Linked DNA regions of Cricetulus griseus. The protein of the gene in region 1 interacts with the protein of each later gene in a pairwise test. Links are inferred from orthologs where the notes say so. Each region holds a gene or a part of one and is shown on either strand. Other genes may lie near its edges.

What was found.
Region 2: the proteins of Ciao1 (region 1) and Ciao2b interact in binary tests that used the Homo sapiens proteins (3 or more experiments, as listed by UniProt). The two-hybrid records come from large-scale screens. The link is inferred for Cricetulus griseus from reciprocal best matches to the Homo sapiens genes CIAO1 and CIAO2B.

What each region holds. Positions count from the first base shown.
Region 1 is NC_048599.1:51,335,721-51,342,449, reverse strand, and holds the end of Ciao1 (probable cytosolic iron-sulfur protein assembly protein CIAO1), read right to left. Parts: intron 5,841-6,729; coding exon 5,753-5,840; intron 4,677-5,752; coding exon 4,436-4,676; 3' UTR 2,597-4,435; downstream 1-2,596. Other genes in the region: Snrnp200 (U5 small nuclear ribonucleoprotein 200 kDa helicase), read left to right, coding at 153-313, 396-477, 1,406-1,498, 1,600-1,743. UniProt on the Homo sapiens protein: Key component of the cytosolic iron-sulfur protein assembly (CIA) complex, a multiprotein complex that mediates the incorporation of iron-sulfur cluster into extramitochondrial Fe/S proteins.
Region 2 is NC_048596.1:180,904,795-180,912,237, forward strand, and holds Ciao2b (cytosolic iron-sulfur assembly component 2B), read right to left. Parts: upstream 4,705-7,443; 5' UTR 4,666-4,704; coding exon 4,518-4,665; intron 4,362-4,517; coding exon 4,282-4,361; intron 4,069-4,281; coding exon 3,943-4,068; intron 3,549-3,942; coding exon 3,503-3,548; intron 3,074-3,502; coding exon 2,976-3,073; 3' UTR 2,138-2,975; downstream 1-2,137.

The DNA of each region.
Region 1 (6,729 bases):
TGAGAGCGGCCAGAAGTGGTCTGTATTCTTTCTAAAGCTGTTTTTAGATGACTTGGCAGTGTGGGATATAAAATGAGCAGCTCTTTAGAGCCAGTGTTACTTGCTTGTGGCATGTGTTCTCTGCTCCCCTGACCTCTGCATACCCACTGTAGGGAGTGGAGAGTGTTTTTGACATCATGGAGATGGAGGATGAAGAACGGAACGCACTGCTTCAGTTGACTGACAGCCAGATTGCAGATGTAGCCCGCTTCTGTAACCGCTACCCGAATATCGAACTGTCTTATGAAGTAGTGGATAAAGACAGCATCCGCAGGTGAGACAAAAAGTGTCAGGAGTCCTGCCCTGGGGTCTCGGCCCACAAATATAGTACTCATGTGTTGTTTTGCTTTCACCAGTGGCGGGCCAGTTGTGGTGCTAGTGCAGCTGGAGCGAGAAGAGGAAGTCACAGGCCCTGTTATTGCACCACTCTTCCCACAGGTATGTTCTAGCAGCTGGCTTTGCCCTAAGTCCATTTGAGGCCTTGTTCACTGGCTAGATCTTAGGTACAGGATACATTTCCCACCAAGGAATGGTAGCCTGGGGTAATGAACTCATAAGGCTGAGTATTAGTCTCGGAACCATGGGTTCTTTTTCTTTTTTTTCAAACAATTTAGATGACTGTCCATTGTTAAAAAAAAACATCAGGCAATGTTTCTTTCTGACTCTTGAGATACATTTGTCTACAAATGGCTCAGGACACTGAACTTTTCTACTTGGTCTTTCCTCAGTTTTAGTCCACTCAGGTTCTAGTTGCATGTTTTAAATCAACAGAAAGCAAATTTCACCTTTTTGTGGGAGAATTGAAGGTTGGGTTCAGATGATAGATAAACTTCATGTACTTCTGTAGACAAATTATTCAAGTTTCTAAGGAAAGTGCCATTGGGCAGACTGGTTTTACTGTGGCCAACAGAGAGGGCTTCTCCAGAGAGACGAGATGTCAGAAGAGGCCCCACAGGCTTGCCCCTCTCTGTTGCAGGTTCATCTCCACATTAAGATTTTTTCAGCTAGCTTGCCTTGCACATAAGCTTCTTAAGCTTCATTGCTCCAAGGCTAAATCTCTAATAATTCATTTTAGATTCAATGACAAACAAATAAAAAAAGGTGCCTTGAGTTATGGAAATGAAGTAGAACTGAAAAAATTTGTCTATCTACTTATTTGAAGACTTAAGTCCTTTGTGGGAAATCTTTAGACTGCTTAGAAACTCTACCAAGAGTTGTGTTTCAAAAAGTCTACTAAACTGTGTTTCAGGAAGCAACTGTGGAGAGCTTTAATCTGAGTTCTGTTACTCTGTTAGTAACTGTTCTTACAGTTGCTTGTAGCCATTGAGTTTTCTATTCTCAATTTCCTTGGTTTTGGTCCCTGTAGAAACGTGAAGAGGGCTGGTGGGTTGTGATTGGGGATGCCAAGTCCAACAGCCTCATCTCCATCAAAAGGCTGACCCTGCAGCAGAAAGCCAAGGTGAGTGTGTGCACTCAATCCCACATCTATCCCTGGGGTTTGACAGGTGGATTGCCTCCCCCCAGGTTCCCACTAACCTGATTTCTGCCTGTTCTCTTTAGGTGAAGCTAGACTTTGTGGCCCCAGCCACAGGTGGCCACAACTATACTTTGTACTTCATGAGTGATGCTTACATGGGATGTGACCAGGAGTATAAATTCAGTGTGGATGTGAAAGAAGCTGAGACAGACAGTGATTCAGATTGAATCTGAGGCATTCTCTCATGTGTAGGGGCATCGAACCTGGAAACAGCAATGTGGATAGTTCAGGGGGAACTGGTTTTGGAGATCCGGTCTGTTAGCCTGAGGTCTGACCATTCAGGCTTCTGCTGTTCCCAGTCCACATCTAGTATCTTTCCCACTTTGGATCAAGCAGTTCAAGCTCTGGGTCCAGTATTTTCAAGTGTCATGTCAAGTATAAACTGTGTACAGTAGCTGGAAGGCATTCTTTTTGTAGTTCCTGAGTCAGACATTCTAATAAATAATTTGGAAAAACTGTTCTTAACAGAGATACTAAGTTTTCTTCAACCAAAAGCTCTGACCAGAAAAACTCATTTTAGCAATGAATCTTCCTACTGAGAATGTGGAGGACAAACTTGTCCTATACTGAAGAACAAAACAGTGGCAGACAGCTACTCTTTGGGCATTCGAATGACCTCAGCCTCCTTTCTGGGTGTTGCTGAGCAAAGTTAGTGGTATGACAGCCTGAGCTGACTCCATCTTGGCCAACAGATAGGGCTTCTCATTATCTTTGTTCTGAAATTCTTCCCTCCCAGGAGATAACACACTAGGAGTGGTTAACATGTACCAGGAAGGGGGCCGGGCAGTGGTGGCACACGCTTTTAGTCCCAGCCCTTGGAAGGCAGAGTCAGGTGAACCTCTATGAGTTTGAGGCCACCCTGGTCTTCAGAGCTAATTCCAGGATAGTCAGAGCTACACAGAGAAACTCTCTCAAAAAACCAAAACAAAATAAAACAAAAGCAACAACAAAACACTGAAAGGTGATTTACTTTGCTCCAGGGCCAGCAGTTTTCAAATGATGGTTTCAAGACCCTTTCCCCCTTTTTTTGAAAGCTTTTATTATCTAGGTTATTAAAGTCATTGATACTTGTTATATTAAAAATTAAGGCAGTCCATTTCAAAATAATTTCATTAACATATTTTAGGAAAAATAAGTTCTAGAAGAAGGGTAACATGGTACAGTGTTGCAATCACTTTACATCTACTTTAACAGAAGCCAGCCACTTCTATGCTCATCTGTTGTGTGGTAGAACTGAAGCATGTTAACTTCAGAGAAAAAGAGAAGTTTTCAAATAATTGTGGCTCTCCTTTGAGATGCAACATCAGTACATTGCCCATTTGGAGAATGACCCATGAAATTCCACAGATCTCAAGATATCCACACAATTCACTACTCATTTGCTAATTTAATTACCACTAAGGTTTGTTACAAGTTTTCAGAAATTCTGTCTTTTAAACATTTACCATTACCAGCGAACACTATTAGTGAAAGGTTCAATGTGTTCATTTTTCAGAAACACAATTAAATAGCCAAGCCTAAATGCTTAATTTTCTGATAAAAATGGTATTCCATGAATGGCTTGCAACAAAAGTCCAATGGCTTTTCCTTAGGATCACCTTACTTCATTGCAGAGGGGCTGGATGGAATTTTCTCTTTTGTCAGTATGAGAAGTTGCCAAGGGTCAATGTGTAACAATAATTAGTCATCTTTCTAAGTGAAGTGTCTCCATTCCTACTGTGGAAACAAGATAGTGAAGACTGATGGCCATTTAACTGGTGCCAGTCCTTGATCATGTTACGGTATTGACCTTGCAAGGGTCCTAAGACTCCCATGGATTTGTCTATCATTACCTACCGCTGCTTTTGATACTGCTTCTGCTGTCTTCCAAGAAATCTAAGGTCACAATTGTACAGTATCAAAAAATTAGGTGAAGTCTCCAGCTTTGGAGACGACCCTCACCACTCTTTAGAAGGCTTATTAGACATCTAATTATTCTTTGCCCTGAAAAACACCAGATTGGCAACACACACACACACACACACACACACACACACACAGAGCCTTTTACTTGTTTTTTCATTTGTTCTGTTTTTTGAGACATGGCCTCTGCTGGAACTCATTTTGTAGATCAGGTTGGCCTCTGCCTCCTGAGTGGTGGATTATAGGTGTATAATCCCAACCTGCTGCTGGTTTTTTTTTTTTTTTTTTTAAAGAGGGCCACAAGCTATTGTCTTAATATTTTCTGCCCCTCGATAAAGACTAATTTTCTTATTTTTTTGGGGGGGGGGATTAGTTGCCACCACAGCATGTCTCAAGAGGCACGTGAAGGTTTCTAAGGAAGAGCAGAGGTGTTCTTTTACTGAACAAACTTTGAATGTCTGTTTTTTGAAAGAGGGTCTTATATACCCTAGATTAGCTTCAAGGATAACCCTGAGCTTCTAATCATCCTGTCTTTGCTTTTTGAGTGCTAGGTGCTAGGAAAACACAACTGGCTTGCAGGTCTTAAATGCAAGGACTTCTCTAGAAATTGGGAAGAAGGGACCCATTTCCAACAGTAGAATTATGATCTTATTTATAAAACAGGAAGTGGGACACAGATTATTTCTATAAAGCTCAAAATTTCAGAACTCTCTCAAACACATTCTCCTATATACATACATAATGATTATAAATACTATATTTACCCTCAAAATATGTAACACCATGCTCTAAATCAAGCAAAATGTGCAATACAACATACTTCTGTTCCATGGCTCCCTCCCATCAAGGAAGGGAAACAGTGAATGGTCTTGTGACTTCTACACAACCAAACAGAAAGGCATAAAGCTAAATGACCCCTCAGTGACTAGTAAAGTCTTGGCCAAGTCAAGCTATAGCTCAGAGGCCTGCAGTCTGGTGATACTCCCAGAAGGCCACCTCCCCATCATCACTACAAGAAGCCAGGAGCCCTGGCTCCTTGGGATTCCAAGCCACACAGTTGACATCCTGGGAATGGGCCTGATGCAGATGAGCTGTCAGAGAGAAGGTAGGCTGCTGTGGATCTGAGCCTGGATCCTCCTCAAATACTCGGATGGCATCATCCCCACAGGCTGTAGCCAGGGCCCCTGTCAGCTGACACCTGGGAGGAACATACATGTTAGTGGGTAAGCAGATGATTCCTGCCTCTCCAACCTAGCAAATTAGGGAGAAGTGTTCCTCAGTTGCTTAAGTGTCCACAGAAAAGCTTTCCTAAGCTATCACACCAACCAAGGCCCTAGTCCTCAGGTGTTCCCACCTGGTTGCCCCAGCTACAGATGAGACCAAACAAATCACACTTTCCCCACTTAGCATAAGCAGTTGCCCATGTCACGGCATCCTTAGCTTCCTTTTAACATTGACATTAACAAGTTTTACCATAATTTAGTCCTTTTTAAAGTCAGGAACTTACTTTAAGCATTGAAGATTCCCCCATTGCCCATCACTGTGTAAAACTTGAATCTGGAATGTTCAACTGCCTATTCATTTTAGTAAGTTAAAAAAAAAACAAAACATCAAAAATTCTAGTTGTCTAGCTATGAATGTTTGAAATGTTTATTTTTTATTTTTTATTTTTTGAGACAGGGTTTCTCTATGTACATTGGCTGTCCTGGAACTGGCTCTGTAGACCAGGCTGACCTCGAACAGAGATCCGCTGCCTCTATGGACTTGAGGGCTGGGATTAAAAGTGTGTACGGCAAGACTCAGGTTCAGAGTGGCCTCTAACCTCTACTCTTCTAAGAATGGAGCAGCTTTTCTAGTCTTCATAAGAGTCAGTTACTAACCCACAAAGTTCTCAGTTACGAACGCATATATTCAATGATCATCTCAGGATGGTCCAATGCTATGTAAATCCTAAGGATTGGTGCTATCCTTTTTTTATTTTAAATCTTTTTTTAAATTTTATTTTAAAACAATCTTTTCTCATTTTACATACCAATCCAGTTCCCACTCCCCTCTTCCTGCTCTCCTTACCTTCCCCACACCCCACCCCACCCCACTCCTCAGAGAGGGAAAGAAAGCCTCGGATCTTATCCCAGAAATAGTCTTAGGCACAGTCAGCTTGCTGCCCCTAGAACCGCAGACCAGCCAGTTATAAACCAGAATGGCAGGCCTAATCTGAACAAACGCAGTCATGCCATCTCTAAACTCCCTGCTGGAATGGGACTGAGGTCTTACCAAGCAACGTCGTAAATGGTCCTGGTGTGGAAGCCTGACAAAGTGCAGATACATTTCCAGCTGGGGTCAGAGCCACTGCAAGCCACCCCTGTGCGACAGAATTCTCTTAAGCCCAAGGCATTCTGTGTCCTGAGCACTTCTACTATTGCAAAGGAGATCCTAATGTGCCTTTCCTCATCTCATTGCCAATCAACGAGTCCTTGTCCCAGCTGTGTTCCCACCCTCCTTACCTGCCTTACACACTTGGGTTGCCACCCAAGAATTAATTTTGAGAAGGAAGCATCCCTGCTCCACTACAGGCTGTATCTAATGAGTTAATCTGCCCTTTAAGGCCACTCACTAGCCAACCCAACCTATTTTACTCCTCTCTTCTAATTCTCTGCCTTGCTTCAAGGGATCCTGTTCTTCATATTCTGTTTAGACATTCCCACCATCAGCCAAATCATGCTGCTGTGTTTTCTTTTCTTTCTGTTTTTTTTTTTTTTTTTGAGTCAGGGTCTTATTGTGTAGCTCTGGCTGTCCTGGAGTTTACTATGTAGACCAGGATGCCCTTGTACTCAGAGATCCCCCAGCTTCTGCCTCCTGAGTACTGGGATTAAGGGTATATGCCAGCATTTCTCAGCAGCTTTTTTTAGGGGGAGGGGGTGGCTATTGCTAGGTTTTCAACTTGGAATTCTTGCATTACATTCTCCTGCTAAAAATTCTACAAACCTAGCTGGGTGGTGGCGGCGGGTGGCACACACCTTTAATCCCAGCGCTTGGGAACCAGAGACAGGTGGATCTCTGTGAGTTCCAGGCTAGCCTGATCTACAGAGCAAGTTCCAGGACAGGCTCCAAAGTGACAAAGAAACCCTGTCTGGAAAAAAAAAAAAAAAATTCTACATATCCTTTTCAAATTTGGTTGGAGGCCTTGTTCTACAAAGCTACCCCTGGTCCTTTCAGTGATTCTCTGGAGACCTTCCTTGTTACACTGAGAT
Region 2 (7,443 bases), on another chromosome or scaffold:
ATGTCTGGGCTCCAGTAGGGGTGGGCATCCCACCAGAGAAAGAGACTGAAGCAGAAAATCCTGAGGCAGTCCTGGGAAAGAGCTTCCAATGGCTAAGATCTAAGACCAGTGGTCTCTCTGAGATGACAAAGTACACTCTGGGCACAGGGCCAACAGGAGGCAGAGGCCCCAGACACAGCCATATCACTTTATAGAACTTCACTTCGCTTACCCAGCATCCTGGGATGACACAAACCCCTGGAAGGATGGATGATGAAGATTCCCCAGGATCCTTTCAGTAGAGAAAATGAGTATTACTATTTTGACCTGGGGACTAGGCTAAGCATCAGCATCAGTGGACAAATAGGTACCCTACCTACAGGTTAAGTGTCACAGCACACACACCACTCCTGGGCAAACCCCTCAAACCTGAGCTTATTTGGGCCTTTAGACTAACCTCCTGTGGACAAGGAACCACCACATGGTGGGACCCTCTGGGATTTTTTTTTTTTTTGGTGGGGGGATTAGGTCAGAATTAAGATGTACAAGGGTAGGGGCTATAGCCTGGATCTGAAAACATTCCTAAAGTCCAAGTGTCAAAGGCTTATTCTTCCAAGTGGAGCGACAGGGGGGTGTCTAATGGGAGCTCTTCAAGAACATGCACTTGAAGCATGGACTGTAACCCTGGCTGGTCTTAATCCTTTTTTTTCCCCTCTGCTATATACTCTTGTAGCAATGTGCTACTTCACCACAGGACTCAAAACAGCACTACCAATTACAATGGACCAAAACCTCCAAAGCAGTAAGCCAAAATTAATCTATTTCAAAGATTTTAAAAAAGATTTATTTTATGAATTTTGCCAGCATGTATGCCTATGCATCACAGGCATGCCTGGTGCCTGTAGAAGCCAGAAGAGGGCATCAGGTCCCCTGGAACTAGAGTTATGGATGCTTGTGAGCCACCATGGAGATGCTAGTAATCAAACCTTGGTCCTCCGCAAGAGGAACAAGTACTTTACACTGCTGAGTCATCTCTGCAGCCCCCTTCTAAAAAAAAAAAAAAAAAAAAGCAAATCAAAACAAAACCCAATTTATTTTTTATTTATATGTATGTGTGTATGCCACATGGTGTGCTAAGTGCCTGTAGAGGCAAGAAGAGGGTGTTGGATCCTCTGGAACTGGAGTTACAGGTGGTCCTGAGCTATCTGATATGGGTGCTGGGAACCAAACTCAGGTCTTCTAGAAGAACAGTACATGTTCTTAATTGCTGGCCATCTCTCCAGCCTCCAAACTTGTTTCCTTTATAAGTTACTTCATGTATGTAGTTATGGAAAACTGATTACCAGTGGGAAGGGGAGAGAAAATCTTAGATGCTAGAGAGAACCAAATACAACATATAGAATTTGGGAAGGATCCAAGTACTGTTTCTGGAAAACTCATATGTGACTGGATACTGGATATTAGCTTTTTTGCTGTTTTGAGACAGGCTCATGTAAGTTAACTTTAAACTTACTACTAGCTAAGGATGACCTGGAATTACAGGCATGCACTATTATTCTCAGATCAGAATGGCTCAATTTTTGGTCAGATAAAGAACTGTGTTATACAGATGTGGTGGTGGTTTGAGTGAGAATGGCCCCTACAGGCTCATATATCTGAATACTTGGTTTCCAGCTGGTGGAACTGGCAAGAATTAGGAGGGGTTGACTTATTGGAGGAGGTGTGTTACTGGGGGTAGGCTTTGAGGTTTCAAAAGACTCATATTATTCCCAGTGTCCCTCTCTTTCTGACTCCCAACTAGTGGATTAAGATGTGAGCTCTTGCCTTGTCACTTCAGTGCCATCATGGACTCTAGCCCTCTGAAACTGTAAACCATAAAATAAACATTTCTTTTATAAGTTGCCTTAGTCATGGGGTCTTAAAACAGCAACAGAAAGCCGGGCATTGGTGGTGCACGCCTTTAATCCCAGCACTCAGGAGGCAGAGACAGGAGGATCTCTGTGAGTTCGAGACCAGCCTGGTCTACAAGAGCTAGTTCCAGGGCAGCCTCCAAAGCCACAGAGAAACCCTGTCTCGAAAAAACAAAAAACAAACAAACAAAAAAAAAAACCCACAAAAAACCCAGCAACAGAAAAGAAACTAAGACAGCAGACTTATATCAATTTAGGACATAGTTCTTTATGTCTCTGTAGGTTCCTCTAGAAATAGTTCTGTAAACACACACAAATAAGGCCAGTGTCACAACAGGTCAACTGAAACTACTGAATCCATTGGTGGTTTGGCTATCCAGGTATTTATATATTTCTTTAAAGATTTTTTTTTTTTTCATTTGCAACTTTTGCTAACTGAAGCACTAGAAGAGCTAAAAAAAAAAAAAAAGATTTATTTTCATTTTTTGAGTCAGGGCCTCTCTATATAGCTTTAGTTAAAACTCTCTGTGTAGACTAGGCTGGCCTCAAAAATCAGATTATCTGCTTGCCTCAGTCTCCTGAGTTCTGGGACTAAAAGGTGCACCACCACACTCAGCTTACTGATTTATTTTATGTGTATGAGTATTTGTCTGAATGTAGGTATGTGTACCACATGTGTGCCTTGTGCTTATAGAGGTCAGAATAGGACATTGGATCCTCTGGAAATGAAGTTACAGATGGTTGTGGGCCTCCATGTAGGTGCTGAGAACCTAACCCAGGTCCTCTGCAAGAGCAGTGTTTTTAACTGCTGAGCCATCTTTGCAGTCCCACTGGGAGAAATCAAAAAATGATGGGGCACCTCATGGACACATCCTTCATAGGCACCACTCTCCCCTCCACAACCCCTAATGACTCCATCATGGAAGATGCTAAGGCATGCTGGGAAATGAATATAAATTAAGGGTTTATTACAAAATGAAAAATGTTAGTTTCTCCTTGTCAGTGATTCAAGAAAACAAAGCCACAAGCCCTTGGTGGAGCTGAGGCCAGGACACCTGTGTGCAGGCTGGTGGTCAAAAGCCAGGCTCATGATCGGGCTGACAGACACTGATTAACGACCTCTAGCAGGTGGGTATTCTCCAGAGCAGCTGCCACTCGTTCCTTATCTGCAAGCTGTTTGTTCACTAGGTAGGAAAGAGGGTTATAAAAAGAGGGTTAAAGCAACTTTAGCCAGGCTGCTAGCCTCAGGACAGATTATATCTCTACCAATAAAGGTCTCCTATCACCTTCCCAGGACTCCTTATCAACTGTGCCCATACTCTCTTATTTTTCAGGAATACTACATACCTCCAGGGAGTACTTAGCCTGCCTCCACTATTCCAGAAACCTGATACAATGTCCTTGGGGAATATGGGAGAGAAACTCATGGGAAGGAGGAGACTTAGGTCAGGCCAGTTTGATCTAGGCTGTAGTCTGGTAATTCTTTAGTCACCTAGACACCCACCCCCCTTAGTCCTAACCTTCCTTATAAACTATTGTGGCAAAGGGGAAGTCTCAACAGTTTGGGGCCCAAGGGGAGAGGGGGATCAACTTCCCCGCCAGCTCACACTAACCTGCATGTTCCGAGGCATGGGTCCCGGGTGTAATGTGCACATCCATCTGGAAGAAAGACAACCTGGGCCTGAGCACTTATTCATCCTTTTTTGGTCCCTTCCCTCCAGAAACCACCTCCATTCCACCCATCTTTCTAATCGTGCCTCTCGATTCTGGCACTTCCGTCCCACCCCAAGTCCACCTGCAGTCAACCTACCCAAGGGCCTTGTCAGCTGCTACTGATTTAAAGGTCTGCCAGTGCCTCCATCAAGCCCATCTACAGCTGCCCTTTCTACCACATTCCTCACTATTTTCTGGAGTATTTCCAGTATTCTTGTCAAATCAGCTTGACGTTTCCTCGCAGTTCGTCTCTGCGAGTTGGGATCCTTCCAGTCTCCACTCTGATGTCCCCTCTCCTCAGTAGTTGTTTCATTCACCCTTAGGCTGGACTCCAACTGACCTTGAAACGCTGGGGAAGGGATCGAAGAAGCTTGACTTTGATAGAAAGGCCTATAAGTGTGGCCATGCTGCAGTGTGGAATGGTGGGTGTGAAAGCCACGGCCACCGTGCTCTCAGGGTCGCTAACCTGTGTTGACAAGGAGATTATAAAGATTACACGACCGCCCCTAGCACCGAAATCCTCTCTTTACTAAAATTTGGGCAAGTTACCTAAACTGGAAAAAACAACCTCCCGCCCAAAGATCCTCTTAGGTGCTTGTGAATGGAGAACGCCAGCCTCTTAACATATAATGGGACCTTTTAAACTACTTTGGATAAGCTATCACATTCTGACACTCACCTGAATCCGAACTTGTTCTACTACATTTAATTCCTCTAGCGTCAGTGGATGCTCCGGGTCATTAATGGAGCGAATAAGATGTGCCAAGTGAAGGAAAAGGAACTCTAAGTTTTGGCCCACTCAAAACCTCCGCAGGCATGCCTAACCGGGACACCCCTCCACCACCGTGTTGCACATCACTTCTTCCCGGTACCCTAGACCCCCACCGTCCGCCAGCTCCCAGCAGTGGTGGATATCGAAGATCTCGCGGGCGTCGATGCTGTCGGGCACCTGTTCGTCCTCCTCGCCCGCCGTCACTGGCCGCTCCCCCGAGCGCTCATAGATGAGGGGGTTGGCGTTCTCTAGAAGCCCGACCCGGCCACCGCCTTCACCGCCGCCCACCATCCCGGAACTGCGGTTCCCACAACCCCCGGGTGGTGTGTACTTCCGCTGCTACGGCGCACTTCCTGGGAATGAGTAGAGGGCGTGGTGTGACTACGGGGTCGCGCAAGGGACATGCCAGTCTCCCGGGATTCGGCGGGTAGTTTGCAAGATCAGTGTATTTGTTGTGCCTGCTACTCTGCGGAAGCCGGAAAAATGTTGGTAGTTCTAGCCCGGGCATCAGAAGAGACTCCCGCGGCTCTTGGCCGTGCGATCCTGCCAGGAGCTGGAGCGCAGAAGCTAAAACCATTTGACTAGGGCCTCTTGAGATTGAACCTCTACCACCCCCTTCAGGAGGCTAGGCCGAAAGGGCATTCGGATGCTCAAGTTCGCTCTCTGGCTATCTCGGAACCATAGATCCACAAAAGACACGCCGGTTTCCCCGAGCAGGGATCAGCAGGCACTAATTACATGCTTTTTATGTAGACAAGCGATTATGAACTTGAATTCCACTGGGGAAGAAAAGCCTATAAGGGAGAGGCGTCATTGAAAAACGTCATATTCACGTATGAGTTGGGGAGGGCCGACGTAGCCTTTCAGTCCAGGAAATAAAATAGATAAGATGGTGTATACTTGAAGGCGGACCTCGTAAACTATGAGTCCCGAAAGCAAAAATGATTTTTTTCGAATGAAGGCAGCCAGACCCCCTTTCCCCCGCCACTCCCTGTGTGTGTGAGTACAGTTCTCATCCGGATCCAATCGCCTGAAGGTCCGCCCTGCCCTATTCTCCATCTGGGGCCAAGAACCACGTAGACCTTTCTGAACTCTCCTTTCCAACCAAAACTCCACAATGGGAATGTGATTACAGGGGAGGTTAACACAGTGACTCAAGACTTAAGACAAAGGTTCCTGGTGTCTCAAAGGGGTTCCGTTGCTCCTTGGAGGAGGCTACCCCCTGCTTGTTGGTCAGAAGTGCACTGCAGTCTGTGACCTTAGCCTATTCAGAAACTCTACTGCAGGCACAACAACCATGCCAGGCACACACCCCCTGTGCCCAGCCTACCAGCGCCCAGGTCAAACTTCTGGAGGAGGCCTTGATACACACTGTTGCCTGTCTGTGAGACACAGCATGCCTAATGGCAGCACAGACAAAAACCAAGACACTGAATTAATTGTGGCTAGACAGACTTTCTGGCTGTTTAAATGCTATGGTGTGTGGGCCCTTGATTCTCTTCTTCCCAGTGCAGAAGACCCTTGCAGAGGACAGGGACTTGAATAAGAATTACACAATTACGTAGAGTCAGAGGCCGAGACTGAGAGTGAGGGTGCACCATTGAGAGAAGCTAGTGAAGGGCTAATGACTGGGAGTAGTGTACCCACCCAGTGAACTGCCAAAAGCATTTAGGGACCCAGGGTCTCTTGTAGCATTAGGAGGGTCAGATATTTCTGAGGATATCCAACACAGGATCTAGTCAAGCATAAGGAGCTATGAGGAGTGCTGAACTTGGAGGTTAGAAACCTCTGGGTGGGTGAGGACATTTTCATTCTCTGGCAGTGGCTGTGGAAGTGGTTGGAGCTGTTACTTATCAGAGGATAATGATGGCAATAATGCATTTCCTCTGGCATTGGTTCTGAATGTACTCTCCAGCACTGACTGATTAAAAGAACTCCCACCAAGGTTCCTTGTCCAGGGGGATACAGAAACTCCTAGCCCCACACCTGCATTTACTGTTCTGTTCCCCATGTACTGGACCTGGAGTTGGGGCAAAAGAATGGCTTGGCTTCCAAGGCAAAGGGGATGTGTTAGGTAGTTTGTAGGCCCTATTAGTAGCAGAGCCAGCATGGCACTATGTCCAGGGTATGTGTGCAGCTCGTTATGCCTCTCACCCCAGGGCATGCTGATGTGGATCCTGGATGACCTCCCACTAGGCCACTTGAATCTGATCTGCCCCGAGGAAGCAGAACTTACTTTATTCCTTAGCCCCTCCCTACCAGACTTTCTCCTTTGCCTGCTGTCAGTCAGGCTATGGAGGCCACCAGTGCCTTGGCAGACAGAAACTTCAGCCTGACTCAATCCTGTTTCCTGTTTGGACTTGACTCCTGGGCTCAGAATCATTTACAACCACTAGAGGACAGAGTTGAGTCCCAGCCTCTCTGTCCCTTTCAGGCTTGGTTTCTCAGGGACCATCATGTTGGCAGGGTCTTCTATGAATGTCCAGGATTTACAGGAGTGAGCACTTATGCTTGTTTTTTTTTTCTCTGCAATATGGTCATGAATTTGTGCTCTTTCTGGAGCTGTGCTTTTTCACTCCACCTCACAGCATGGCACAACTTCCTCATATCATCATAATCGGATTCTCACTTGAAGAAGCATTAATAAAGAGAGTCTCCAAACAGGACCATTTCAATGAGGTTGTCTCTTGCTGTAACAAGTGTCAAACATCAGTGGTGGCTTCAGTAAGTTACATGGACAGAGATGCCTTCTACACTGTGAGGATGTTTGACTGTGGGTTTCTGAAATGAGGAAGGGGGTATCAGAAGGCCCACACATGTTCGTCAGAAGAGATTGCTGTCCCCTCTCCCTGAGCACCTATCTATGTATTGAGGGTCCTTCTGCCTTTTACAATTCCCCTGAACATCCTGGCTCCTGCGACACCCCTATTGTTCTTTGTCATTAATTTTCATTCTTGCCCTATTTTCATCCCTAAGTTTTTTATTTGTCCTCTAAACCAAACAAAACCCTCCCTTCGACTTTGTATTTATATAAAGGTGCCAAATTATGTTGTCTTCACTTGTTTTCCT